2 linked regions of the Rhinolophus ferrumequinum genome follow. The protein of the gene in region 1 interacts with the protein of each later gene in a biochemical or structural test. Links are inferred from orthologs where the notes say so. Each region holds a gene or a part of one and is shown in the gene's direction. Other genes may lie near its edges.

Region 1 (15,440 bases):
TGGAAATACACCTTATTCCATTGCAGCCCTCCCTCCCCGCCTTGTAGCGACTGCTCCAGTCCACCTGCTTCCTCGAGACTCCTCAAGGAGTCAGACCAGCTGTAGCTCTATGAAGGGACCCTCACATTTCACGAGATACAGGTCAGGCTCTCCTAATCACCCTTCTGCGCTCTGCCCTGGTCCCACAGCCAGGAACAGAAATGCCGGCTTCCTTTCCGATCAAATGCCCACTCCCACAAGTACATTTCTTAAAGCTTACTTCACTTGGTTTTCGGTGGGAGGTGATGGAAACGAGTGCTCCTCGGCGTGCCCATAGGTTGGCAACATCTGCCTGGGTGATGGTCTTCAATCCTACTTTTGAACTTGTAGTTTTCTCTTTTGTCAATTGAAGGTGAGTGATGCCGCACAACTGGCCATCCATTTGGAATGAAACGGTGACTCTTACGCCATAATAAAAAATAAATTCTAGACGATTAAAGACTTAAATGTGAAACAAAACAAAACAAATGAAAAAAAACAATTAGGGGACTATAATCTAGGATTTTAGGATTTCAGGACATCTTTCAAGTAAGGCAGAAAAAATGTAGATGTTATAAATAAAAAGACTGACATATTTGAATATAGAAAAAGAAATCATAAAGAGCTCTTTCCTTTCCCTTCCCCTTTCTCATTTCACTTTCTCCTTCCTTTCCTTTCCCTTCCCTTCCCTTCCTTTTCTTTTTCCTTCCCTTCCCTTCCCTTCCTTTCCTTTCCTTTCCCTTCCCTTCCCTTCCTTCAGCTTCCATCCTCTCCCCTTCCATCCAGTGCCCTTCCCTTCCCTCCATGCAGAAGCTGAGCACTGCATGATGGTGTGGGCAGGTAGTGAGAAATAACAGTCTGTAGATCTGCGGCCAAGCACCATCCAAGAAGGCTGGGATCTGAGAGAACCAGCAGTCGGAAGTAGGACAAGTGACTAACACGCTCAGGACTAAGTGTTGATAGTGGAGTTCCACAAACGTTTGAGATGAAACCCACAGGTGATGACTATTTATTAAGAGTGGGTGAAGAGAGGAGAGGAGGATTCCAAACATGAGAGTCAAACATCAGAGGACACTGCAGGCCAAGAATGTGAGAAGACTTAGGGTCAAGTTCTTACGGTAAGGATCACGTCAGTGGGAGATGGGTCTGGAGCTTGTCTCAGGGAGGTAAAAGTGCTGACAACAAGGTGTAGTTGGGTTGGGGCCTCACCTACTCTTCCTCTTGGCAAGTTCCAAACCCTCATCATTTAAAGGTTTGGGTAGCTTCTGGTGCCAATAGAAATGGAAGAAAGATCATCATTATCAAGAGATTAAAACATAGAATTCTGAAGTTATTAAGAGAAAAGGGCTCCTAAATTCCTCAGTGTGAAATAATGATGTCAATATCAACAGTGATGGTAATACTAAGATTAGTTCAGCTTTACGGAGTTCTTCCTGGGTGCTGTGTAAATCTACTAAGCACTCTCTTTTAAAAGGTTATTATCTCTTTTAAGCTTCACAACAACCGATGAGGTAGATACCATTATCTTCATTTTATAGATGATGAAACTGAGTCTGACAGAGGTTCAATAACATTCTTAAAGTCATGTAAGTAAAAATTCTCAGAACCAGGACTCAAACCCAAGTCTGTATGACTCCACAGCCTTAAGCATTCTGTTTATACACTAACTGATATTTACAATGATGGCCTGAAGTCATCTGAAAATGTTAACTTTTTGTGTCTTTTATTTCAAAAATCAGAGAAACTTATACTGCATCTCAAACATTTTCATCCAAATAAAAGTTGGTTTTCCAGTGACCCATTCTTCTAGGATTCTGGATAGCTGAAGCTTTAACTGTACTTTGTACTTCTTACTAGATTTCAGTCATTAGAGCTCTACAAATTGATTAAAATTGAGTTGCAAATAAAATTTTTATGCAATGGTATAAAATATATTGGTTGTAAATTCTGAGTACTACATAAATTCTCTCTCTTGCATTTCCTTGCAAACTTTATTTATTTATTTTTTTAAAAAGCCTTTTAAATGTTTTTGCCAGGATATTTTTTTAAATAATACTTCAATATGGACTTTTTCTTGGCAACCCATGTGATTTCCTGGAAGTTCCTGCTGAGTATACCCTTACTATATAAACATAAAACTTGATTCCCTCAGTAAAAACATCAACCATTTGCAAATGCCAACCGACTTTACAAGCAATTTGCAGCCTGTGAGTAAGGTCATCCTTTTTCTTCATATTTTCTCTAATGCTTGTAGTATGGGCCACAGCACCCTTAGCAAGTCTATTGCAAATTCCACTTTGCTGTCAGAGCTCCAGACCTTTTGACTAAACATCCCTTCATTTTCCTGGAGCAAAGAATCTGATTTAAATACTAGCCATCTTACCTGATCACATTTCCTCCAATATGTCAACTCAGCCATAACTGCTTTGAACATCTAACCTTTCTTTAACCTCCCGTCACATTCATACAGCTACACATAACAATATATACAATTCCTTTTCATTTATCAAAAGAAAGAATCCTTGGGGAATAAAGATTTGACAGCTCCTGTTACGAGATAATTGTAATACTTAAAAAAAAAGAGAGAGAGATGAGACAGATGGTGCACACTGGAGACATGTGGAAGTTTGCTTGAAAAATAGCTTCAGAAATTCAATTGAGACTGAAAAGAAATTATGTAAATCATCACTTTTGCATAAAAGCATCACGGAAAACACGGAAATTATCTTAATCTTTAGTCTTCCACAGTCTTGTCAAAGAGAAGGAATGTCAACTGGACAGATACTATCTTGGTTTCCTATTGAAAAACAACAACAAAAACCTCTGTAGCGCTTCATTTGAGTTACAAAGAGATTACTTTGAGTGAGATGATTAAAAACATTATCTTCTATACTGTAATATGATTATATTGTAATATAATTATAACGAAAAAATAAAAACCTGGATCATGAGCCTCCAGAGAATTCATGTTTTCTGTGTGTATGTTTAAGCTGACCTCTTTAAATGCATTAGAAAAGTCAACCTTTCTCTTTAATTTGATCAGAAAAAAGGGAAGTCTGAAAATTGATAAACAATCTTTAATATATAAAGATGAGTTACCAAGAAAGATTATGGAATTTCATTTCCTGAAGATGGTTAGATAAAGCAAAAGCAAAGGATGTTTACCTACTCTCTAATAGTTTGGGTTAGGTAAAGTTTGCTTAGGAGAAAAAGACCACTTCAAGGTTTAAACTTTTAAAATGATAATGGAATTTGATAAAAATATTTTTAATAGAAAGAAAGAAATCCTATTATATTTTCCTCAGATAGGTTAAATTTATCTTTGAACTTGGGTGAGAAATTTATTAGGTGTGCCTAGTTTCGGGCATGTTTTCATTGACGTTTAACAGCACTAAGCGACTGGACTTTCTGAGGCTTGATTGGGTGACCCTGATCCACTTTTAGGGTCTGGGAGTAACGTGGGGTCGGCCAGCCAGCCATGTGTATTTCTCTGGACAGGCTAAATCTCGGCTCCCTTTTTAAACTGATATTCTTTACAAATCTATCCAGCATTTTTTAAGAGGAGAAGCTGAGCACTGCATGTTGGTGTGGGCAGGGAAGGGGGGCAGGGCAGACTGGAATGAATGGAGGTGGCAACACTCAATGGCTCTCCTGTTGCCCCCAGCAAACCTCCCATGGTGCCAAGCTCCCATATCCTTCTCAACAAAACCAAAGCCCCTATTGATTAGCTTCCCTGGACAGCACCTGGGGTATCTCCCTTTTAATGTGCCTCTGGGTGATTCTAGGTTAGCGTTTCTCAAGTTATAGTCCCAGCAGCACCTATTTTATAATCATTTGATTCTTGAACCCAGGCTAGACCTACTAAGTGAGAATCTCTAGAGAGGAGGCCAGGGTGTCTGCATTTTTAAGGAGCTTTGCAGGTGATTCTGACTGCACTTAAACCTCAAGAACCACTCCCTGAAGGCTGAGTTGGATTTGGTCAGTTTAGAGAACTCCAGCTCTCCCCAGGCATTCCACTGTCAAAAAATTCAAATGTTCAGACCTGTTTTAAGAAGGCTGGAGGAAGATGCAGTTCAGTTACCTCCCACTCATCAGTCTTTCTCCCTAGCATCCATTCTGATTGAGCTGAAATCCTAGGGGAATGCCTATAAATATTCCATCTGCTCAGATTTTGTTTTGCCAGACAGTGGAGTTCACACCACCTTCCCACTACTACAGACCAAAATAGCTTCTCTGGGCTTGCCTGACTCCAACTGCTAAGAGCCCCACTCCCTGACAACTATGGCACTTCAAGACCACTTGGCTTTTTCCAAGGGGATTCCATTGCCCTTGGGTGTCCTTTCTGCAATTAGGATGGGCTAAAAAGTTTTAATGCTGGAAAGAATCTTAGAGGTGCCAATCCAATCCACTCTCTAATTATATAGAAACAGATGCAGACAGATACATAGAAAAGGAGGCAGGAAATAAACATTTGATTGAGTCCCTACTATGTGCCAGAAAGGTGCCGTGCTATATTTTTCAATGAGTTTTGACATTAATTTTTTACAATGAGCTTTCAAAGTGGATAACATTATATCCATTTGTGTATACAAGGAAGTTGAAACTCAGAAAATTAGAGATATTTGTAAAGTCATTCAGTTAACAGGTAGTAGATCCAGTATTGAACCTAGATTCTAATAAAAATAATAATTTTCATTTATTAAGCACTTACCATGTGTTGGGCATAGTGCCAAGCATTCTATTTTTATAAACTTACGTAAAATCGCCACAGAAACCCTGAGGTAGGTAGTGGTACTATGTGCATTTGACAGGGAAAACGCAGGCACAGAAGATTAGAAACTTGCGTGATGGTCACGCAGTGATAGATGGAGGAGCCTTTGACTCCAAGGCTCTCTCCAGAATCTCTCTTCCAGCCCCGGAGAGACTGGAAGCAGGGACAGTAGTTATAGTCCAAGGAGTAGCTAAGCAGGCCTGAAATAAGGATTGGGAGGAAGGGGCGGATTTAAGCAGCACTTCTGATGATCTCTGGATGGGAGGTGGGCGTGGGCGTAGAAGGAATTGAAGATAACTGCATTTTCTTGCTTGGGGAATGAAGTACATGCTGACACCATTAACTAAAACCTAGAAATGAAGACAAACTGGCATCGCATTTATGTTCTGTGATACATAGCCGCATTTAGTTGTTTTTCCAGCTTCACTATGAAATGTAAGAGGAAGAATTGTATGTCCTCATCTTCTACATGAAAATGTATCGATTGATAGATTATAAGGAAGACTGTCAAGGTAACTGGGAACATTGTCTGCAGGGCAATGAAGTACTCCGTGTGTATGTAGTGTTAGGATGGCAATAAATATAATTCCTTATTTGAAAATTATTCTCCAGTGCCCAATATGGGTTGGCTGTCAAGGATACCATGGCGAAGAGGAAGACCAGTCCGTGCCTTGAGGGATCTTATATTCAGGTAAGGAAGATAGGCAAAATAGAAGGAATACAACATTAGGCTGTGAAAAGTACTATAAAGATAAATGGAGTGCCATGGTGGAACATGATGGTGCAGGGTCCAGGTGATATAGGGTCTTGTAAGATGTGCAAGCCATTTGATTCCAAGTGTGATGGGAAGAAATGGATGAGTTTTGAGCAAGGGAGTTACATGATCTGTTATACATTTTTTTTCTAGCTCCCTCTGAATGTCACTACAGTCAGGGCAAGATTGTGATAATAGGCATAGAAGAAAAGCTGGTTAGGAGGGCCAGAGGCAAAGAGTGATGGTGGTTTAAATAAAGATACAGTGAAGGCAAAGAGAAGTGGGTAGAAATTGAAATATATATTTTGGGGTAGCTGGGAGAATTGTTGATGAAGAGGGATGGAGAGGAAAAAGGAGAAATTGAAGATGACCTACATTTCTAGTTTAAACAACTGGGTAAATAGTGCTATTTACCAGTATCATGATAGCTGGAGGAGTAATTAGGTTCGAAGGAAAATGATGACCAGACACATGTGTGTATATGCGTGTCTAAGCATGATACGAAAGCTTACCAAAGAGTACTCTGGACTGGGAATTCAAAAGCCCGACTTGTGTCATAACATCATCACTAAGAGGAATAACTTCTCCACACCTCATTTTTTCCCATCTACAACAGGGGAATGATTATATCTGTCTTTGCTGCTTCAGAAGGATGCTGAGAAGATAAATGAGATAACATATATGCAAGTTCTTTGAAGTCTTGGGAGGATAAAAACCGTGTAAATCCAAGCTATCATCATTATGTACAGGGTGTGTTTATATTATTCATATATCTACTCAAAGTCACAGGGGCCATAAGTGTATCACACATTCTTTCCTTCATGTTCAGTGCTCAGAAATGGCAAGATGAACATACTTCTGTTTCCCCAAATGTCCCTTCACTTTATTCTCTTAACAGGATTTTGCAATTATTAGTGTTGTTTCAGACGTTTAAGACCCTGGGAAAAAAAAGGGTTTTGCCCAGTAACTCAGCCTGGGTAATTCTTGGGAGATAATGATAATGATGGTATCTTCTTTAATAGAGATGTGCAGATTATAGGGAACCAGCACGTTGTCTTCTGGAATCCTCCAACAACACTCTAAGAAAGGTATTATTTTTTCACCATATGACAGAGGGAAGATGGCTCAAGAAGTTAATTTGCCTAAAACCTCATTTTACAGCTGGAGTAATTAAGGCTAATGAAAGAGTTGTGTTCTAAAAAATATAGTAAACTAGCACCAAGGACATTCAAAGAACCAGATAATATTCATGGGATGTGTGTGCCATCTTCTTTGATCTCTGCAAACTTGGACACGTTGTCTTCAGTTCTTTGATAATGGGTATAACTACTGATTTTCTTGCCTAGAGTTTCAAGAGTTGCACCATCCCACCCCATGACCTTGTGTTAATGTTGTCTCTAAATATGAACAAACAAACAAAAAAAACAAAAATTGTCCCTTACTCTCCAGAGTAATACATGATTAATAGTAGTCTTTCCCTTGTGGGGAGACCCAGTGCACTCAATTTTGCCTGAGGTGATGTGCAAAAGAGAGGTCCTTGGAACGGTGAAAAGAAAACTGGACTTGGAATCCAGAGACATGAGGTTGAGTCTTGGTTCAAAATTCCTTATTGTGTGATCTGGGGGTGAAGTGAACCTATTGGAGCTTCAGTTTTAATAACTGTTAACTGCATATAATGTTTATCTGTTTACTGGCTGTAACCTTCTAGTCAGCCTCACCTTGGTCTGAACGATTCCAGAAGCACAAATATGGAGCTAAGTAGTCACTTACAGAGTGCCTTGTTTATAAATTATTGGATTAAAAATTCTCTATTCTGTTCATTTTTTTCTCGTCATGCTCAGTAAAAATGCATGTGTATTTGCTCACTTTTAATGGAGGGGGAAGAGGGTTCTTATTTCTGGTATTCATAGAGTATGATTCTCAGCATATTAATCTATTTAGAACAAAGCTAAGAAGGAATGACGTACAGGGTTGCATGAGGATTGAATTAATGCATGTGAAATGTTTAGCAAAGTGACTGGCATAGAGTGAATAATAATTGTTAGCTGTTATAATTTTTTGTTCTTATTTTGGTTATTCTCATTTGTGTTGAATGGTTTAGTTGTGGCCCTGGCTGGAAACTAGAGAATAATCTGACTCCCTATAAAAATGGCAGCATGGTCGACAGCCAGGTAGAGCTTTCTTCCACAGTATCTGTAACCATTCTCTCCTTATTTTCGCCTAGTTTCTGCACACCTAGGAAGGGTATCTGGGATAACTTTTTGTTAAGCTGACGGTAAATGCAAAAAAAATAATGACAACTTTGAGATCAACGACAAAATTTCAACTTGTTTTCCCTCTGAATTGAGTCTGAAAAATAAACCTCAAAACCTGTGGAGGGCATGTTTTTCAAAACTGCATTTCAGAGTTTACAGGTGTGTGCCTGGGGCAACCAAAACAAAGATTACAGTGGTTATGGCTGCCTCCCAGGCTCAGATGAAAGAGGCGCCTCTCAGCTAGCTTTACGTGCCAGCTCACCTGAGGTCACACTTTGAATTTTCCCCACGTAGGGAAGGTAGAACGGGGCCTCCCAAGGGTGGGTTTCAAATCCACACGACTGTTTTTTCCAGCCCGTCTCCCTTCCCATTCTGAGTTTCTGGGTCAACAATTCTCAGCTTGCTGCGGGGGTGCGTCCCGGGGGAGGCAGGGTGGTGCCTGGGTGCAGGCAGAAGGGGGAACGATGCGGGGCGGCGGTGGCCCCGGGAATCGGCGGGTGGACAGCGACCCTGGGACCGACCTCTACTAATTCAACATGCCTCCCTCGGACCTAAGGGGTTCCAACACTTGGCCCTTATTCTACCCAGTGTCTCTCCAGGGCTGGGCAACCCGATGCAGATCAGCGTGGGATCAGTTCCCGCCAGGGCTGCTCCCGCCCTTTCCCGGGACCCAGCCCCGCCCCGCGCCGTCGGTCCCGGGCCGCCGCGCCCCGCCGGGCCGGAGAAGGACGCGGCCGACCCCTGCCCCACGGTCCCTTCCTCCTTCACTCAGCCGCCAATCCCAACGCCCTCCCCTCCGGTGGCATCACTTTGCAGGCGTGTTTTCCTCCGAGGGAGGCGTGCGCCCCTAAGCCTTCCTCCTCGCCGCCCCCTGGGGACCCCGCTTCGCGGACAATCGGCTCTCCCAGCGCCCCCTTGGTCCCCCGACCCCTTGCGCGCCCGGGCGGGGGTCCCGCGCGCAGGTACCTCAGCGCCGAGAGGAAGGCGCGATCGCCGCGCGGTTCCGCGAGGTGCGGCGCCCGATCCGGGGGGAGGCGCTGTGGTCCGGGGCGGCCCCTCGCGCCCCGGGCGCCGGCTGCGGCTCGGCCTCCTCCTCCTCCTCCTCCTCCTCTTCCTCCGCCCTCCTTGGCTGGGAAAGTGGGAGGTGGCGGCGGCGTGTGTGTGCGCGCGTGAGGGGGGCGGTAGAGAGGAGTCTCCGGGGCCGCCGCCGCGTCAGACACACTGTGAGCGGCGATCGCCGCGGGGCCGCATCCGCATCGGTTGCCTCCACCGCTGCGGGGCCGCGAACAAAGAGGAGGAGCCGAGGCGCGAGGTAGGGCGCGGGGACCGGCGCGGGCACAGCCTCTCGGTGGAGAAGGCGGTGGTCAGGGCGTCCCCTTCTCCTTCCCTCCGCGCTGGTCAGGCTCTCTGTCCCCCACCCTCGGGTCCCTGTGGGCCCGGAGCCGGGACCTGCGGGAGCGGAGCCCGCGGCCTCGCTGCCTCCTCCCGGCAGGAAGCTGCCCGGGCTCCGTGCCGCGCTCTCACGGCGCAGCCCCGCTCCCCCCGCTCTCCGCTGGCTGCGTCTCTGGGACTCCCACGTCCTCTCTGCGGGGTGATCGCTGGTTCCCGGTGGCACTTTGTGGGGCTCACTTTCGCAACTCAAGGCTGCGAATTTATTTTTAAGTCCTTGAGAACTTCCAGCGGAGAGATTTTGTGCCCGGCCTGACCCAAAGGGAAGTTGCGATGAGGCTGTTGAATGAGATTCCCATTCGGGCACCGTCCGGGCCACAGCCCCTGCCCGGGACCCTTCCCCTGCCGGGTGCCGGCGACACCTGGCTTCGAGGTGTATCTGCGGCGCGTGGCCGCCGCGCCTCCCTGCGGGTCAGAAGTACCTGTGCTGGGCTGCGTGGCAGAGAGCCCCCCACCCCCCTGCCCCGACTCTTATCAAGAACAGCTGTTAACGCTCCCATCAGAATCTTTCACCCCCTTCCTCCTAGGCATTCACATTTACGTTTCTTTTGATGGTGGTGGGAGAGCGGCGCAGTCACTGGTTTAAGGCTTTTTCCTGAATTTTCATATTATGCCCACAGTTTTCAGTCCAGCATTCCATTGTCAAATTCTTTTGGTGGTAATTTTGCCAGATTTTCTGAATGGGATTAGGGCAAGCTGTTCAGAAATCCATTTCAGAGTTTGTCAACCACTGTCCTGAAGGGCCCTTTTATATTTTAGCTGCTTTCAAGCCAATCTGTAGTCGTGTCCTTTAAAATTGTCACAACCTTCAACTCATTTTGGTTGGACAAGATTAAACAGTTCTATTTTTAAGGCCAGTGAAGAAACATATGTATTTAATATTGGGATCATTTACCACAAAGTGATCACATGAGGCTTGGTTTCTTAAACTATAAAGTGTTTTATAAATTGGGAATTTTGTTGGATTTAGAAGTAAATTCAGGTGGAGGAAACTTTCAGTTGCTTCTGTTCAGCTCCTCATAAGTTGAGGACTTTATTAAGGCAGCTAATGTCACTTTGAGAGCTGAAGAAATTATGTTCTTTATTACATTTCATAAATCGTATTTATTGCAGGAGTCCTGTATAGTGCTGGATACGTATGTCTGCACAGTGAACTAACTCCTAGCTATGGCTAAGGATTAATTTTGAATTGTTGAAAAAGCCTATTTTGTTTTTAATTGTTGACTTTGGAGTTCAGGAACTACATTCCAAAGCAAAGCTAAACTATTCAGAGGAAGCACTTCTGTGTACTTTTTGGTTCTTGGCTCTACTGTGAACCTTGTCCCCAGATAACAATACTAATTTTCCATCTTTTCTCTCCCCCTGCCCCCACCTTGTGACTCCAGAGCAAAGTCTGAAATGGATGTTACATGAATTACTTTAAAGGCTGCATACAACTATGAACATTGCTGAAGCTTTTCCTTAGCAAACTCGTTAAACATGGATGAATCTGCCTTGTTGGATCTTCTGGAGTGTCCTGTGTGTCTAGAGCGGCTTGATGCTTCTGCAAAAGTCTTGCCTTGTCAGCATACGTTTTGCAAACGATGTTTGCTGGGGATCGTAGGTTCCCGAAATGAACTCAGATGTCCCGAGTGCAGAACTCTTGTTGGCTCGGGTGTTGAGGAGCTCCCAAGTAACATCCTGCTGGTCAGACTTCTGGATGGCATCAAGCAGAGGCCTTGGAAACCTGGCCCTGGTGGAGGCAGTGGAACGAACTGCACAAATGCTTTGAGGGCTCAGAGCAGCAATGTGGCTAACTGTAGCTCAAAAGATCTGCAGAGCTCCCAGGGTGGACAGCAGCCGCGGGTGCAAGCCTGGAGCCCCCCAGTGAGGGTGAGTAGCTGCAGAAGTAGTTTGGTGCATAACAGTGGCGATGACCACATTTTTTTCTTTATTCTTTAGCTCGATGTTTTCTAAATCAGCTCATTGCTAAAGAAGCCTCACTATGACAGATAGGAAATTGTGCTTCAGGATATTTTTTTTCCCCTGTTGGAATGAGATTGGATATACATAATACATTTTCTTGTTTTTAAAAATGTTCTCCAGGTAGTCTCTATTACCTTTTAAGATAAATTTTGGGAAACAGGTAGTGATTATTCAATGAAATCTAAAGCACAGCAGTTTTTTGTGCACATTTTAAAATGGAAACTTGTTATGGTTTTACTTTGTTAATGGAGTTGGGAGAGCCATAATTATGCATGTATGTGTACATATATGTATACATATTATAAATATGTGTGTGGGTAAATCATGAGTAGGAAATCAAGCCTTAACGTTTATGTTGCTTAGAGCCATTCTATTGGTCTTATGAATCCACAGCACAGAATTTACTGGTTGGAGGAATTCTTAACAAATCATGGCCACAGGTAGCAGAGTTTTGTTGCTATAGCAACGAAACGTCATTTAGGACTATGCTAAAACAGCAGATAATCTAGTTTTATGTTGGGTTTTACATTTACAGGGAGTGAAATGAAATGTTCCATCACAATGATTTTTCTTGGGTTTGGGTTTGGGCTGAAATAACATTAAGTGAAAATGAAAATTTGGACAGTTACCACAATTTAAATTTCTAGAAGGTAAGGTATTCTGAATAAATCTAAATTTATATTGTGGGTAATGGCATGCCAATAAAACATGCTTTTCTCATCTTTGTAAAAATAAAAAGTAGAGATGGGCATCAGATAATTAAAACGACTCCATTGTTGGAGGAAACAGTTTTGATAATTGGCCAAACAAATAAAGTCTATTTTTGAAGAACAGTTAACCTGGATGAGAATATTTTTTTCAAATCTTTATAATAAACACTCAAATCTCACTTCTTTCATTTAACGGAGGAACAACCCACTGGGGTGATACTAGATAGGATAAATTCACAGATGTGACTATCAGACCGCTGTAGTCTCTCAACTTACTTCCCTCTCAACTCATCTTTTAAAATGATGTATGTACATCAGTAGATATAAAGTGTGTGAAGTGCTTTAATCAATAGAAAACAGTTTCATCACTAGGCTATCATATTTCTTTTGATTCACATTTAATTGTTTATTTTTTTAAGATAGTGATGACATTGGGTTAGGAAGGTTTTCTTTCCATATTTGAAGCCCACAGGTAAAATTGTTCTGCTTATAGTAGTTTTCTTAGATTTCCTTTATTTTATAGATTTTACCTGTACCTTGATGAGTGGATATGGACTCATGAATATTTTTAACCTCAGAACGCGTGATCAGGTTGATCATTTCTGAGACACCTGACCCAGGTTTGCTTAACTAGGTAGTAGATTTGCTTCTTTGGAGAGATTTTGTTTCCTTGTTAATTAGACTAGGGAAGGCATAGCCCTAGGTTATGAAGAGAAGTATCTTAGTGGTTGAGTGGCCTTCCTGTTGTGAGGAATTCATTGAAGGTTTGATTACTGATAAAAAGGAATTTAACAAGAGGGCTCAAGCCTCAAGCATTCAACTTAACATTTTCTTTCTAACGCAAATTGACTATGTAATGACTGATGTTGATTCACTTGAACTACTAAGCTCCCAAAATTGAGTTTCACTTTTTAGGTAAACTATTGTGAGATTTTGATGATGTATTTTTTTTTTCTGGCTTATATGATTTTTCCTACTTTATTTCATGTTTCTTCTTTAGCATGAGAAAAATTACCCACCAGGAAGCCCAACTGAACTTGAGCCTTATAACTTGGATAAAATAGTTGAGGTGGATAAAACAGGAGATAATAAATATGTGTTACTTTGGTGGGGGCACAGGGAGTGGAGGATGAAGCAAAGCTTTTCAGTTATCTGAGTTGATGCAAATGCTGCAATACTTATAAAAAGGAGTGTTTTGTTTTTTTTCCTTAGTCTCAATTTCTCATGAGCAGTTACCTAGTACCTTTTGTTTTCAAGTATTCAAAACAGCCAGGGCAACACTAATAGTCCAAGCATCTGAAAGGTAAATACATCTCAGAAAATACTCCTTTAAAAGTAAGAAATCTGTAATGTACAGACATGTGGAGGTTGTAATGTACTCCTTCGGACACTTCCCTGAGGTGAATGACCATAATAAATCCCCAACCTGCATCCTCCTCCGTTAGATGTTCTGACATGACCAAGTGGTGCCTGAGCCTGTTTCCACATGTTGCGCAAAGCTGAAAGTGATAACATGTGGAATGTTGCTTCAGTTTATTAGTTATGTTCTGTGTTCCGTTAGATTGTGACCATGTGGCTTCCTCATGTGTTTAGCCGAGGTAGATGGAGTGTTATCAGCAGATATGAACATTTCCAATGTGTGACACACATCTTGTTCCCAGAATTTTAGTGTTTCCTGCCTAACATGAAGGAGAAAATGAAAAAGTGTCGGATTGGAGTCACCATGGGAATCTGTCAGTTCTTTACCCCAAGTAAAAAATTATTGTTTTTTTTTTTTCTCCCCTTCTTCTGCCTCTCCTGCACCCCCACTTCGGTTCAAGCCATTGTTTTTCAGTCTAGTGTAGGACACAACTCCCTGACCCATGCTGGTATTATGAGCCTTGCGCTCCCCCCGCCGCTGGCCGGCTGCTCACGCTGGCCACCGGCTGTTCGTGGCAGCACACAGTAGCCCACAGCAGCACAGCAGCCCGCGGCAGCCTAGGGCAGCTCACGCCGACCTCTGGCTGCTCATGGCAGCCCAGCTCCAAGGAGAGCCATTGTTGACAATCTTAGCTGCAGAGGGCGCAGTCAATGGCCCATGTGGGAATTGAACTGGCGATCTTGGCGTTAGGAGCACGGCGCTCCAACCACCTGAGCCACCGGGCCGGCCCTGTTGTTGGTTTTAAGCCAAAGTCAAGCAGTAGAATGAGTCACAGGGAGAGGATGGCTGCAGATATCTGTTTAATGGACTGAAAAATACCTGCAGAAGATAAATTACACACACACACACACACACACACACATATAAGTGCAGATATATATATGTATATATATATACACACACACACACACATATATATACACACACATATATATATATGCAGAATGAGATATGGAAAAGATGTTTAAGTAATTCCTATAGAATTATGACAGAATAGTTAAATTTCTGCTTTCTATATGTGATTCCGTTGATTCAAGATCTGTATCTGTGCATGCATCTGTCTAGGTATTATTACTTAATGATTTCACATTGCCTCTACCTCAAAGTGAGTTTATTCAGCAAAAATGCATCACATGACCGCTGGTTTACACTAATTTACTCTTCATTTATTCTTTCCGTTGTCTAACACATATTTATCGAGCACTTATAGGTGGCAGGCACTGCTCTGGCTACTGGCTAGGTAATGATGGACAAACCAAATACAGATTCTGCTTATGAATTTATGAGTATGTGTCAGTTTCCTGGGAGAGACACATTAACATAATAACAATGCAGGTAGGTGATTAAACATGATAAGTGTTAGCATAGAGAGTTAGGGGAGAGGACAGGAGAAGGCTCCGTGTGGATTGTGAGGGTAAGTTGTGTGTGTGTGTGTGTGTGTGTGTGTGTGGTCTTCAAAAGCATCCTTGAAGAAGAGGCATTTGAGCTGAGATCTTAAGAGTGAAATGATTAGTTGAGAGGGTGCTGGGCGGTGGGAGGGCAGGAGGGGAAGATTATTTCAAAGGCCCTGACCTACAGCGGACGGGACATAACTTCTAGGAAGAACCGACGGAAGGTGAGTGTGAACTAAGCAAGGGACAGGGGTAGTGACCTAAGATGAGGCCTCCCGTGCAGTCATGTGCAAGGCATTACGAGCCACCGCAGGCCACATGGGGTGAGGGCCAGATGGACGTACACGCAGCTAGTAAGTGCTCTGTATTTGAGGGATAGAAAGACAGATCATTGGGACTGAGATGATCAACAAGCCTTCAGAACAGAAATGAAATTGGAGTTAGGGGTCGAAGGACTGAGGCACGGAGAGGAAAGGTAGGGGATATGGATGTGGGGGAACACAGGTGAAATTCCTTTTCTCCTGCAAATGCCGAGCATGCTTCAGTTTCTCCAGAGCCATACTCACCCCTCCGTTCTCTCCCTATTGCTGACTGTTATGTGCTCAATTGTGTCCCCTAAAACTCTGTGCCCCAGTATCTCAGAATGTGGATTTGGGGAAAGCCTTTAAAGAGGTGGTGAAGGTAAAATGAGTTTATATGGGTGGGGT
Region 2 (14,859 bases), on another chromosome or scaffold:
TTTTTAAATCAGTATGGACTCATGGATATTTATTTATATTTGGGTTATAATCCAATGCTGCTTTATTTATTTAGTTCACATTATTCCAGCTTTGGCCATTGGGCACTCTTTCAGTTGGCTCCTGTGTCCCTTTGATGTAGCTCCATTATTGCATAGTCGATTTTTGTTTGTTTGTTTTGTTTTGTTTTTGGTACATCCTTACTTTCTGGCACTACAGATACTCCGGGCTCATCTTGTATATTTCCTGCCCTGGTCCTAGAATCAGCCATTTTTCCAAGGAGTCTGGTTCCTACTACTGTAGAGTGGTATTAGGAACCAAGATCTCGGTAGGAGATGTGCTGGTTGCTACTGGGGCAACACCTCCTTTTTAAAAAAATGTAATCTGAAAAGTGTTTATTTGGGATTAACTCATGCACACAGTACAAAATTCAAAAACACAAAGGGATATGTACAATTAAGACTGTTCTGTGCCCAGTAGACTGGCAAAAAATTTAAAGTTTCAATGTTGTGGAAGATTTGGAGTAATGTGAGTATGTACACTGCTGTAGGAATGTCAGTGTCAGCCACTTAAAAAGTGTTAACAAAACCCCACTTTATTGAGATCTAATTCACATATCACACAATACACCCAGTTAAAGTGCACAATTCAATGGCTTGTAGTTATTCACAGAGTTGTTGTTAGTCCATCACCACTTTTTAGAATATTTTCATTACCCTGAAAAGAAACCCCACACCCCTTAGCCATCATTCCCCAAGTCTTCCCATACTCTGCCTCCCTCGCCAACCCCTGGCAACCACGAATGTACTGTTTCTAGATTTGCCTCTTCTGGACATTTCATATAGACAAAATCATACAATATGAGAGGCCTTTTGTGTCTGATTTCTGTCACTTAGCATGTTTTCAAGGTTCATGCATGTTGTAGCATGTGTCAATACTTCATTAATTTTTTTTGATGAATATTGCATTGTATGGATATGTCACATTTTGTTTATTTAGTTGGTGGACATTGGGTTGGTTCCACTTTTGGGCTATTACAAATAATGCCTCCATGAACATTCGTGAACAAGTTTTTGTGTGGACATATGTTTTCAATTTTCTTGGGTATATACTTAGGAGTCGAATTGTTGGGTCATATGTTACTTCTATTTTTAACGATTTGAGGAACTGCTGGACTGTTTTCCAAAGTGGCTGCCCCGTTTTACATTCCCACTAGCAGTGCGTGAGGGTTCTGATTTCTCTATATCCTCGCCAACACATTGTCTGCCTTTTAGATTATTGCCATCCTAGCAGGTGTAAATGATATTATTTTGGTTTTGATTTGCATTTCCCTGATAGCTAATGATGTTAACATCTTTTAATGTGCTTGTTGGAAAAAGCTTCCTTTTAAAGTAACTGCATAGTGTTCCCTTGTGTGGATGTACCTTGATGTATTGAACCAGTCCCTTATTGTGGACACTTAGGTGGTTTCCAAGTCTTTTTCTGTCACACACAGTGCCTCTTGCGTATGTGACATTTTGCTCACGTGTGAACATATCCACAGGGTAAATACCTAGGGCAAAGGGAATGTACCTGTGTTTTATAAGTTTAAATTTATGCCACTTGTGTATTTAAAAGTAAATATTGAGAATAATCAGAGTTGTTTGAAGAACATTCTAATTCTTCCTCCAGTGTTAACGTTTAGCAGGTTCAACCACATCGGAGTCGGTGGCCACTTTATTTTCCTATTTTGTTTTGGTTAAACTTTTGCATAATTCAAGACTGACTTTTGCATAGACTCCATGTCAGGTTGAGGCAGGTGTTCAGAGCACATAAACCTACATTCATTCTTCCAAAATTTTCCCCTAACGGTGCCTTTCTGCCCCCTCATATTTAGTACTGTTCTTGCTCCTAAGTGACCAGCATTGCATGTCTTGGCGATCGTTTGGCCTTCTTGATGGTCTGTTATGATTAAGAGCTTGAGCTCTGTCTCTGTGTGATCTTGGGCAAGTGACTCACCTCTCTGTGCTTCAGTTTCCTTTTCACTGAGATGGGAGTAATAGTAGCACCTACCTCACAGGATGACGATGAGGATCAAATGAGTCAATTCAAACAGTGCCTGGCACAGTGTTGTTATCTAACATTATCTCTGCAATTGATGATTTTCAGGGAAGATATTCAGCACCAGCATTAATTAGTACCACCACCTAAAGAACCCTTTAATGACATTCTCATAGGCTACAAAAAAGCGCTTTTTGGGTAACTCTTTATTTTTATATAATTATAAACTTATAGAAAAGTAGCAAGAATAATACGAGGGTTTCCTGTCTACGATTTGTCCACATCTGCCAATTGTTTGCTCATTTTTCTTACCATTCCCTGCTTTCCCCTCCCCCTCTATAAGCATATATACACATAGGTTGTGGTTTTGAACCATTTGAGAGTTAAGTTGGAGAACATGATGCCCCTTTACCATGGAATACTTCAGTGTGTATTTCCGAAGAACAAAAACATTCTCTTTCATGAGTACAGTACAACTATAAAAACCAAGAAATTTAACATGGTTACAATATTCTTATCTAACCCTCAGTTTCATTGTCTCAGTAATGTTCCTTATTGCCATTTCGCCCCCGGCTCAGAACCCAATTCCGGACCATGTGTTGCTTTTAGGAGTCGTGTCAGTTCCTTTTAAGTAACCACACAAAAGCCCCCCAGCTTGCTGCGGGAATCTTGATGCCTGCTGGTCAGCAGGGTTCCAGCGAGGATGGCCAGCGCGTGTGGCGCCACCTTGTGGCAATAGCTTGAATAGCGTTTATAAATCACATCATTGGGCAACTGTGAAGTGATTGATGCCCTTCTTGATGACCTAAAAAAAAAAATGGAGTGATAGTCATATTATCTCTTTTTCTTCATAATGTGGGAAACTATGTTTTAAGTATGTTGCTGTTTCAAATCCACATACTTTAACTTAGCATAATACGATATTTTGCTATCTCAAATCTGGACCCGCACCGGTGAAGTCCAGTGCAGTAGGTAAAAGTGTGAGGTTGGCCTGAGACGTCCTTGGGAATGCATCCGGGTGCCGCAATATTCTGGCTGTGTGATGTTTGGCAAGAGACTTCCCCTCTCTGGGCCTCTGTTTACTTCTGCAAAATAGGCCTTACGGAGACTTCTAAGTAGACAAGTTCAGACCTGAAGTAAAATTCACCTCAGTACAGAGCTTTCACCTGCCTAATCAAAACCACAATCAGTCAACAAATATTTATTCATTCCCCAAGCCCCAACTATGTGGCAGACATTGTTCTTAGGGGCTGGGGAAACAGTGGTGCCCAAGACAAGGTCTTTGCCCTCATGGGAAAATTTATATTCTGGTTTGGGGAAGACAGTTACAAAATAAACTACAAAAATATTCTTTAGTGTTAAGTGCTAGGTAGGGGATTCGGATATGCTAAAGAGATAGTGACAGCCTAGCTCTTTCGGATGTGGGATGGTCAGGGAAAGTCTCTAAAGAGGTGAGATTTGAACTGAGTTCCGAAAGACAAGAAGGAGCCAGTCATGCAAAGATCAGGATTGGGGTGAATAGCTCAGGCACAAGGAACAGCAAATACAAAGGCCCCGAGGTGGGGACAGCTTGTCTTTCTGGAGAGGCAGAAAAGAGCTTAGTGTGTCTAGCACATGGTGGTCAAGGGCGAGAGTAGCTTGAGATGAAGTTCGAAAGATCGGCAGGGCCAGCTCACATAGGGCCCTGAAGGCCAGGGTGAGGCTTTTAGCGTTTATTCCATGTGGGTGGGAAGCCATCTGTGTGTTCCGAGCAGATCAACAAGGTGTTCAATTTTACCGAGGGGAGAAAAAGCTTCATTTCAAAGTCTGCCCCAAAGTGCAGTAGCCTAGCACGACCACGGAAACATTTTGGGAATCTCCTACATGTTAAAATATTGAATAGGCATGGTGTCTTCTATTTCAACTTTTGAAAGAAACAAATTTCATAAAAAGAAAATTGGAACTAACATTTATAGAATCCTTGAGGTTCATCTGTACTTCTGCCAGACACTTAAAATGACTCTAAAAGGATCTTCCCAACACAGTAGCATCTAGGGTGGGGTTTAGTAACTTCTGGCTGGGGAGTCAGAAACATTATTTCAACATTTCTGTATAATGTGGGAAACCCTTTGAAATAAAAACTTTTAAAAAATGGTGTCAGACTTCTTTGAGAATCGGATTAATGCTGTGGACTTTCTCCCCTGAAAACACTCTGCTTAGGATGAAGAAAGGGAGAATTCTGATTCCCTCTGCTTTCATTTCCTAATTGCCCATGTGGCAAGGAGGTGCCCCTGCCCCCATGGCCACCGCCACCACTATCTGGGATAGACCCTCAGCCCTTGTGGGAAGGAGTAGAAGCCTCCCCATTTGGGAATCCTAAAAGCTGGTCCATGCAGCTTGTCCAGTCACCACTGGGAACCCAATCTCTGTGAGAAGGGTTGAAATGGGCTCCAGGGGCTGACGTCTGCTACCTGGGGACAGAAGGGGGCTTTGAGGAGATGCCCTCTCCGTCCCTCAGGGCTGGATTCTTAAATCACTTTTTCTGAATCGAGGCATTTGAGCAGACATGATAAGCTACCGGCCCTTCTCCCCAGAAAAATGCACAGGCAGCCCATATTTATAGTTATGGGCGGGGAGTTCACAGAACAGATTAGAGGGTAGAGAACAATTTGGGGTTTTAGGGAATTTTCTCCTCAATCACCCTTGATGTGGAAATTGAGAGACTGAGGCCCCCAAAAGATAATTAAGTGGTTTGCTGAAGCAACACTGGACAAAAATAGGGCCAATACTTTCCTGCATGGTATGAGTTCAAAGAACAGGCTCTTGTATGAGACTGCCAGGGTTCAAATCCTACCTCTACCCCTAACTTGTTCTGGGACAAATACTGCTGCACTAACCTCCCAGAGGGTGTTGACAGCGTTGGTGGGACGGTGTTAAAAGAACCCGGCCTCTTAACAATTGCTAAATAAATTCGATTGATATTTTGCAACGAGGAAAAGCAGGCTCAGAGAAGTGAAGTTATTTTGATGACACAGGAAAGGCATGATTAGAACTAGGGCTTGTCCATCTCCAAAGCCAGTGAGAGCTGTTCACCCCCCCAGACTAGTGTTTTTCAAACTGCAAGGCATGACCCATTAATGGGTCAGAAAATCAATTCAGCCGGGTCTCAAACAGCACTGAAAAAATTAAATGTTAGAGTGCATCATACGTAAGAGTAAATAGAATTTCATAACACTTGTTTCATTATACTATAAGTACCCATATGTGTGTACCAGGCCTTAAAATAGTTTGAAAGCCATTACTAGTGTCCCAGGGAGTTTCTACACAAGCATATGGGAGGTTTCAGTGAGATACTCTATCCTTTACCTTAGGAGGGGCAGGGATTCCAGTCACCAGGAAGACCTGAGGTAGGGATAGGCTGTGAGCTGTTCAGCATGGAGAGGAAAGAAGAGGGTAGGCCACAGTAACCTTGAGTCTAGATTAGAGCAGAAGGGTGAAACAAATATTCCCCAAGGGCCCACTCTGTGCCAAGCCTTTGCTGGGCAGCTAGATACGCAGTGATGACGGAGACAGTCCTGGTCTTTTCCTTCTCGGGGCTCTCTGTGCAGCAAAGGAGACAGACCTGTCACCAGACACTGAGGCTCTAATATGGTCAGGGCTGTGGTAGGGGAGGCAATAGACAGAGTTATCAACACTGTGATGGGGCAAGACGATGAATTAGAAATACAGGGCAGCAAGTTTCAAGCTGGAAACCCATTCATTAGCTAAGGGCTAGTTCCAGCATTAGGTTCACGTATGGGGAAACTAAGGCCCACCGCCGAGCAGCACCTGCCAGACACTCTCTCAAAGACTTAGGTGGACCCAGGATTCTTCAACTCCCAGCCAGGCCTTCTAGAAAAAGTATGCACTAACCAATACATACTTGCCAAGCCGTGTGGCATACTGGGACCCAAATTCATAAGCTAACGAGCCCCACCCAACCCTTTGGAGAGAAGGGACTGGGAGCCAGATGTTTCCCAGCTGGTTAGTACACCAGCTAATAAATTGGGCCAGGATGTGTGCAAAATTTTTCTTGGGTGATTTTAAGGCCTTTGTAGGCCCAAGTTACCCCATAAAAAAGTTATATCCCATATTTAATTGCATATATACGATAAACAGATACGAATATTTTGCAGTCAGAGGATGTCTAATTGCCATAAGCTGTTCTGTTTACATAAAATAGTCCAATCGCCCAGTGACGCAGGTATGATCGTTTCCATTTTGCAGATGTGGATACTGAGGCACAGAAAAAACGGTGGAGCCTTCTGCCCAGTCACGAGGAAGAAAATGCAAAGCTGGCTTTGTGTGGTTTCAGAGGCTGAGCTCAACCATGAGGAACATATTGAAATGGCAACCCCTGCTGACTCCAGGTCCAGGGTTCTTCACGGGCTTTCGGAACCTGGGAGGAAAAGCCAGACCCGGGAAAAACGACATCAAAGCGTATGTAAATAAGGACCAGGGGCTGCCGGGAAACATCACTGCGACCAGCCTCTAGGGAAAGCGGGCGTCAGTCAGGGTCCTAGTGCGCCTGCTCACTCCTAGCTCTTCTTTCCGTCCGGCGCCTGCGCGAGGCCCATCCCTAACCAACAACGGCCAAACTTGTCTATTGTACGCAGGCGCCCTGCTCTGAGTCCGCCTTCGCCCCTTCCTTGCGCTTGCGCTCTAGCGCTCTCCGAGTCCAACTCTCGCTTTTACGTCAGTTCCTGTTTGTGGCAGGAGAAGGCGGTATTTCCGGCCAGAGGGTGGGAGGGGGCGGTAAGCGGGGGCTGGGGGGAGGGGGCGGGGGGGCCGCGCCGCGCGAGCCGTTGGGTCTGGCTCCGAGAAGGCGTTGCCGCCGCCGCTGCTGCCGTTGCCGCCGCCGCTGCCGCCGCCGCTGCCACTGCAGCCAGGAAACACAGGAGCGGGACCAAGCGCAGCGTGGCGATGGGCGGGAGTAGAGCCCCGCCGGAGAGGCTGGGCGGCCGCCGGTGACAGGTGAGTGCGCCAGCGCGTGTCCCCGAGCGGCCCCCCCCCGCGGTGGTCGCGTCCGGACCCCCCGCAGTGCCGCGCTGGGCCGTACCACCAGTGCCGGCCGGGCGGGGACCGCGGTCCTCGAACCCCCCCTTCCGGGACTGAGTGGGGGTGGCTGCGCGGGGGTGGTAGTTCTAACCCTGAGGGGCCGGGGGCGGCGGGCCGTACCACTGAAGCGGCGAGGGGCTACCAAAGTGCGAGGACCGTACCACTGAAGGGCTGGGGGCGCGGACCCCAGCATGTGCGTGGGGCGGGCTGAACCCACGGGGTGTGAAGGGAGAGCGCGCCTGGTGGGCGAGCGCTGAACCCTTGAGAGGGCGCACCTTACCAAGTGTACGGGGCTGTACCTATTTGGGGCTGTGGGAGCAGTCCCTGTAATTCGTTGAGCGAGGTGGGGGCTTCTGGGGAGGGAGCTGTACCAAGTATGGCCGGGGTAGTGCCGCCTGGGTTATGCCACTGGGGGGAGCCATCCTTAGAACGTAGAGAACGCTACATCAAAGGAGGAGGGCTGTGAAGTTTATAATTTTTGAGGGACGGGACAGGCCCACGTGGGTGTTCAGGGGAGTATTTTGGGAGGGCTGTAATGCAAGTGACGAGGAGGGGCTTCTGCCTCCTAAGTTTGGTGGGTGGGGCTTGGGGTTTACACTTAGCTGAAGGGAGGATCACCCTTTATTGAACTTAGTGACTTTGAGGGGAACTGGGCGGACACTGGACTGCTGTTTACCCCAGCACCCTTTCATGTTATTACGCCTTATTTTAAGATGTGTGTGACACCTCTGTGGCAAGTGTTTCTTTCCTTGGGGAGGGTGAGATGTCTTAGAAGCCAATGTTTGTGGTGTTTTGAGCTTTCCTCCATTTAGGGAAGGGAAGGGTTATTGAGCTTGGATTTAAGGAGCTGTGTGCGCTCCCGGTCCTGCTTAAGACTTGGGAGGAAGGGGCGTTTGGAGGGACACCTCTCTCCTATGACAAGGTGGCTGGGGACATCTTGATCCTTGGGATTCTGAGGATCCCCTTCCTCTGATTTGGAGGCTGCTTGGACTCAGCAAGGGGTCTAGACTGGAGTAATGAGGTCCTCCATGGGCTGCCATTCAACCTTGTTCCTCTTCCCCTCCCAGAGAAGCATGGGGAGTTAAGTCAGGCCTGCGGGCCTGCCCTTGGTTGGTGGTGAGTGTGAAGGGGCCAGGCACCACCCACCGCAGGCCCCTCTGTTCTCCTTGAGGCTGCTTGTCTCTCTGGGTTAGCGGTCCAGCTGCCCATCATGTTTACGCTCCCCATCAGGCGATAACAGTTGGCCTCACCATTAGTCGGCAATGAGGCTAAGCACTGTTTTCCCAGCTGTTCCTCTTTGCATAGGCCAAGGGGACCCAGGGAGGAAAACTGCTCTGAAGGATTTGGGACAGCCAGATTCCCCACAGATCTGGCCTTTGGGTGGATGCTTGGAGCAGCCAGCCCCAGACGTGAGGCCACTGTCCTTGTTCTCCAGGCCAGCTTATGACCTTGGCTTGCCCAGTAACCTTTGCCTTGGGTCTGGAGTCCCCAGAGGGCTGGCTGCGGTCCCCGATTGACCCAACTAACATGGGCTGATGATGTGGTCAAAGGGGACAGATGGTCGCTTCTGGTCCACAGCGTCAGCTTCCACGCTGACTGGCTCCTGTGAGTTGTGGTTCCTGGAGAAAAAGGTCCCTGAGTCTCTGTGAGGCCATGGTGGCTCTACAGTTTTTCTCCACTAAGGGTTTGTTTTTCTGGTCTCCTGCCAGTTTTAGAGGGTTTGCCTGATGGGGTTAACAGCAGCAATAAAAACAATTGTGAGATGGATGGCTGACATTTATTGAATGCATTCTGTGTGCTGTTCAGAATGCTTCACGTGGATTAAGTTGCTGAATACATCCTAGAACCATAGGTACTATTATGATGTTCTGTTTTAGAAGGGGAAACTGAGGCACACAGAGGCAAATCATTTCCAGAGCTAGTGAATAGCCAGTTTTTATTGAACATTTACCATATGTCAGGCACGTGACAGGCCTTTTACATACAAGACCTCATTTAAATCTCAAAACAGCCCTATGGGGTGGGTATGGCTGTGCCCCTTTTGGAGACCCCTATGAGGCAGAGAGAAGTGTGATACCCATTTTACAGATGCAGAAACTGACACTTGCTGTGAAGTGAAATGACTTGCCCCAGGTCTCACAGCAAGAAGTGATAAAGCTGTGAACCCCTGTCACCGTTGGACCTCAAAGTTGTACCTCTTGTCAACAAGTAGGTGATTTCTTTGCACCCAGAGGTGGATATGGTGTTTCTGTCCATTTTGCAGAGCCAGAAATTGAGGCTCAGAATAGGAATTGCCTTTTCCTAGGTTTACCAGACCTAGAGGGCCAGCCTGGGGTTTGAATGCATGTTAACTTGTCTCTGGTGTCATGTACTCCTTGCTCACTGAGTCCCAAGCTGGAGTGGGTCTCTGTCACCTCAAAGCCCCTGCCTTGGACCTTGCCAGCTGCACCTATGGGCATTTTGTTCTCGTCCCCAGAGCCTAGGACTGCTGTGAGCATGTCTGCCGGCAGCCAGCCCAGCATTTCTGGGCTTGCTGATGAAATCTGGTCTATCCTGAGTTGGGCCAGGGCATCTTTGAACCCGGGGCAGAGTGTGTGTGGGGAGCCAAAAGAAGACAGTAAGAGCGATATGCAGAGGGTGACACAGCTACCAGGGGACCTGTGGTAGAAGTCCCTGCACAAGGATGGTGTAGTGGGCACGCCTGCAAGTTCTTGTGTTTTCACGTCCTGGCTGTGTGACGTTGGGCCATAGTGTTCATCTCTGTGCAGTGGGCTCAGAACAGTACCCACATTGGGCTGTTGTGAGGATTGAGTTAATTCATGAGAAGCTCCTCGAATGGTGGCTGGCAGTGTGTAAATGCCCAGTCAGCAGTCCCAAGGGCATCCACCCTTCCCTACCCCTTACCCTTAGTCCTCTTGGGTGTCCTGCTATCCAGCCACCCAGCCTGGCCCAGCTAGGATTCAGGAATCTGGTGTCCTGGTATCTAATCTCCATGAAGAACTGTGTTGAAGTGATTCAGAGCACGGGGTTCAAATCCATCCCTTCCACTTACTGGCTGTGTGACCTTGAGCAGGTTCCTCAACCCTTCTGAGCCCAGTTCGTCATCTGTGTCATAGAATGATGATAATTCTCCCTTGATCGGTTATTGTGAAGGTTAAATGGGCTCATTTGTGAAAAACATTTATAACTGGGCAGGCATAACAGTAAGCCTCCAGTAAACGTTTCTTGCTCTCACTACATTTAAGAAGAGTGCCCAACGTGTGGTAAGCCCTAGGACATGTTAGCAATTGTGATTCACATCCTGCTGGGATTTTGAAGGCCCTTTCCAGGTTACAGAGCCTTGACAGGTAACACCATGAGGAGGGCAGGGCTGAAGTTAGCATCTCCATTTTCCAGATGAGGGTTAGGAGTGGGAGGGATGTATAATCCAAAGAAAAACTGGCAAATGCAGCACCCAGGTCTTCTCAGTCTCCCACACATTTGCTGCCCGGAGCCCCTCAGAGGTCAAAAGTCCAGCTCCTTTCCAGATGTCAGCCTCTGCTAAGCCCTCCTCCCATACATGTGTTTACTGTATCTCCATCACAGTCCCCAGGAGTAGTGGGAATGGCCTTGACCCAGGTGAGGGACAGCCCTTTTGAAGGCTTGAGGCGGAAGGGTGGGCAGGGAGCGTTGGAGAAGTAAGTGCTCATGGAGTCGGGCCAGGCTGTGCAGAGCCTGGTGGGCCTGGTCAAGAAGCTTCGATTTGATCCCAAAGCCATTGCAGAGCCGAGGAAAGGTTTTCGTTCATCCACCACCATTTGTTGAGCACCTACTGCATGCCTGGCATTGCTTCAGGTGCTGGAGATACAGGGTGCACTTGACAAAGGACCCACCCCCGTGGAGCTGAGGGGGACAAACCCTCAACTGGTTTACTAAAAGAGGGGCCAGTGAAAGGGAGGGGCCAGGCAGTGAATTAAAATCAGGTGTGACTGGTGCTGCTTTAGCTGGGCCGCTGTCAGGAAGGCCTTTGAGCTGATCCCGCATTGACAAGGAGACAGGAGAACAAACAGCCTTGGGGTGTGTGGGGGGGCACAGTACAAAAGTCACAGGGAGGACAGAGCTTGGTGAGGTGCAAGGACAGGGTAAGGGAGAGGGTGTGGGGGTGGGGGTGGCCGAGGGCTGGGCTACTCAGAGCCTTGCAGTCCGGCCTAAGGAGCAACTTGGGTCAGTTTTAGGGTTTTAGCAGGTGCCTTTTTCCATAAGAGAGGTTCTCAGGCCTGGGGTGGGGGTAGGTTTTAGAGATGGTCAGGGAGTTTCACAGGCCTGCCACTTCCCTCTTGAGTAGAATCTCTGCCTTATAAACTGTGAAAGCCTGATGGTCGCCTCCCTCCTGTGGTTTTCACACCGTGTTCCCCAGGGCTCATGGCTGTTCCCTTTAGGGACAGATGGGGGGAGGGGTCAGTGGGCTGATTTGCTTCCTACTCTCCCCAACCCAAATAGCTGGGCTAACATCAAGTAACAATGCAGAACGGTAGTAATAGTAATACCCGATTCAAAACAAAACAAAACACTTGCTGAATCTGCCTTCCGCTCAGCTTCTGTGCCTGAGGGCCTATGCCATTCTTGGCACTGCTCTAGAATTTAGAAGACTAGGCCTGTGGGCCTACCTTCTAGTGGAGACAGTTACCCAGTAAACAAGCCTATGATGGGACATCAAGTCAAGATCAATGTTATGAAAGCAAAGAGAATGGGGATCAGGAGAAAGAGTGTGGGGATATTAGTATGTTTTAGCTGGGATGATCAGGGAGGGCCTCCCGGAGGAGGCAACGTGTAGGTAGAGACTGGAGTGCAGTGAAGGAGCGCCGGGAGGACTTGAGTGAAGACCCTGCAGACGGAAGAGGAATCAGCTCCGATTCCCACCTGGCAGTGGTGCGAACAGGCCTGGAAAGCCTTGGTAACTTGTGTTGGGTCCCACAAACTGGCAGTGTTGGGACCAAGCTCTGAATTCGGGCAGTTTGGCTCCAGAGTCCCCCAGCCCACGAAGGCACTTAGAACCCTGGGTGAGGGTAGCTTCTAATCGCACACCTGAGCCTCAAACCTAAGGTTTAGCGCAGTGAGCAGGAGCCTGGCTGTTGATTCTCCCAGGCCCGTTTGGGGTGTCCTCCAGGAAGGACTGGAGCCCCTCAGAGCAAACCTCCTGGGGTCCCCAGAATTTCCTTGGATTGGGAGGATGGAAAGAGTGTCCTTTGCAGTTGATCTCCAAACCTCTTGGGGATCCAGGGACACCCCTCTCTGGGCCTCTCTTCGCGTTCCCAAGAACTCTCAGTAGAAGGCTCTCAACCAGCAGGCCTCTGGGCTGCACGGTGGGGTGGTTCCGTGGCAGGCTCTTCTGGACAACCAGCCAAGCAGTGAGAGGCCCAGCTGGGGGAGACAGCCCTGGGAGCAGCACCAGGAGGGAGGGAGTGGAGGAGTCGGTGTGGGAGGGCTGCGGGGTGGGATCTCAGCCTGGCCCCCTTGGGGGCAGGACCCACTGCCAGCTCGGCACCCACAGCAGGGCCCAGCTGCGCTGCGTTCTTGAGGCAAGGGACAGCAAGCCGGGGCTGGCTGAGGGGAGACTACATGTCAGAGGTCCCCGCAGGAAGTTCCTGGAGTCTCGCTGTTCTGCCCAGGAAGCTCGTCCACAGATGTTGTTTCTAAGGGTGAGGCCAGAAATCCAAGCCTGTCTTGGTTTGCCACCTCGTGGGCCCTTTCCCAATGGACTGGGGCGGCTGCCCCAGACCTTGCCCCTCTCCCCAGACCTTCCTAGCCTGGTTTTAGGTCATCTTCATCTGGTGGGTCTTTGCGAAGTGGTCCGGGCCCGGGTGGGAGGTGGGCAGCCAGCCTGGGTGTGAACCCTGCTCCTGGCTCCTGCCTTGGTTGCTGGGAAACCCTGGGGACCTTATTTCATCTCTCAGGTGTATTTTGCTCAGCTGAAATGGGAACATCCCTGCTGAGTGGGGCTGTAGAGAGGTATCCGGGAACTAATAATGTGTTAGAGAGTGCTTGGTGTGGGGCCTTTTGAGAAGGTGCTCAAAGGATCCAAGCTGCTGCTGCCGCTGCTGCTAGAGGTCGTCAGGCTGGGCACCTGAGAGCAGAGAAGGGGTTCTGGATGCAGCCAGCCTGGGCTTGCTGGTTGGCAGAGCAGGTTTGGGTTTGGAGCCTTGGGAGGGGGTGGCAGGCCAATTAACTGAGGTTCCCACTGGGGAGGGCTCCAGTCAGAAACATTGATCACATCCATCAGTGAGACCCGGCTTGGCCAGACATGGCTCTGAGCACTTCGTGTGTGTTAGCTCAGACACGCAGCAGCCTGTGTGGTGGATAGTAGTCACCCCCATTTTGCAGGTAGGAAACTGAGGTGCAGAAAGCTACACAGGAAGTCCGCGTTGTTACTGAGAGCCCGCAGAGTGGCCTCTCTGTGCCAGGCACTGCCCCGGGGTTTTACGGGGTGCTCGCGCCAATCCTCAGCGTAACCTGGGAGCCTGGCACAGCTAATCTCCTCATTTCACCGGGGAGGACGTGAAGGCCCAGGGAGGAAACTGGATTTGCCCGAAGTGTTGGTTCATGACACGTGAAATTTGAACTCATTTCTATCTGGGGTTGAGTCTGGCTTTTTAAGGCTGGCTTTTCTGCCTCCGACCAATGTCACGGCCATTGTTTCTGAGGTCGTTACTGTTATGTTAAGGATCTTTCTGCTTTCTCTTCTAGACCCAGCTGGCACAAAGTAGGCCTCACTTGTCCCAGAAATGACACGATTAGCTTCATTTGATGCCCGCTTGGGAGATGGGCTGTCTCTCTCCGTTGCCTAATGCCTGTGGAGCTCTGGCCTTGGCCGCCCCTTCCTTCCCCAGAGCCAGGGGAAGGGAAGAGCGTGGGAGGCACTCCCCTGCCCCGTGCCTTGGGGTCTGATTCCCAGCGGGCCTCTGCAGTCAGCCTTGGCTCTTTTTGGTCATTTGCGTATTCCATTCTTTGACCAAGTAATTTATTGGGTACCTGCTACGTGCCATGTGTAGTTCTGGACACCGGCGAGTGGCATGCAGTCTTAGTGGAGGAGGCAGAGAAATAGCACTTGGTGTGGTTGAGAAAGGGAACGGAGATCTGGCCTTGGTGGGAGGGGGGCTTGGGGAAGGCTCCCGAGGTGAGACATGAGGCCGTGAATGTGAATGTTGGAAGCAGTGGGCCACACGGGTACAGCGCGGGAAAGGCCCTGAGGTGGGAACAGTGGCTGCAGCAGGGGCAAGAGGAAGGTGGCAGGGCCCAGGTCTGGCAGACAGGGCTGGGCTCCCTTAGGCTGGGCTTCTCAAAACTAGTGTTCAAAGACCTGGGGGGTGGCGGCGGCAGGTGTGAGCATGTGTTTTGGGGTAGTGTCTGCGAGTCGTCTACTTTTTTTAGCTGTGTATTTTCATTTAGGTGATATTTTCAGAAACTTAATAGAGGCATGTCATGAATCATCTGGATGATGCCTTTTAACCAACTAGTGACAGTATTCACATAGCTGTCACTGCCACCGCTCTGACTAGCTGAGGCTCAGGTGGGCCCTTGGCTTCGGAGTTGGCCTTTGTGTAATTGCTGCCTGTCTTCCAAAGTGCTGGCCTCATCCCCAGCTGTGCGGGGAGCCTATCTCACTGGATCCCCAGGACGACCCTGGGTGGTTAAGAGAAAGCATCTTTTGAAATAACGTCAGGATACGCTCCGTCAGGCTGGTATTAAGATCCCATTTCCTAGATGAG

What was found.
Region 2: the proteins of SH3RF1 (region 1) and AKT2 form a complex in vitro, tested with the Homo sapiens proteins (2 studies listed by BioGRID and IntAct, with this or other methods). The link is inferred for Rhinolophus ferrumequinum from reciprocal best matches to the Homo sapiens genes SH3RF1 and AKT2.

Annotation. Positions count from the first base shown.
Region 1 is NC_046301.1:36,020,330-36,035,769, forward strand, and holds the start of SH3RF1 (E3 ubiquitin-protein ligase SH3RF1), read left to right. Parts: upstream 1-8,965; 5' UTR 8,966-9,110; intron 9,111-10,632; 5' UTR 10,633-10,726; coding exon 10,727-11,119; intron 11,120-15,440. UniProt on the Homo sapiens protein: Has E3 ubiquitin-protein ligase activity. In the absence of an external substrate, it can catalyze self-ubiquitination. Stimulates ubiquitination of potassium channel KCNJ1, enhancing it's dynamin-dependent and clathrin-independent endocytosis.
Region 2 is NC_046298.1:39,021,558-39,036,416, reverse strand, and holds the start of AKT2 (RAC-beta serine/threonine-protein kinase), read left to right. Parts: upstream 1-6,819; 5' UTR 6,820-7,030; intron 7,031-14,859. UniProt on the Homo sapiens protein: Serine/threonine kinase closely related to AKT1 and AKT3. All 3 enzymes, AKT1, AKT2 and AKT3, are collectively known as AKT kinase.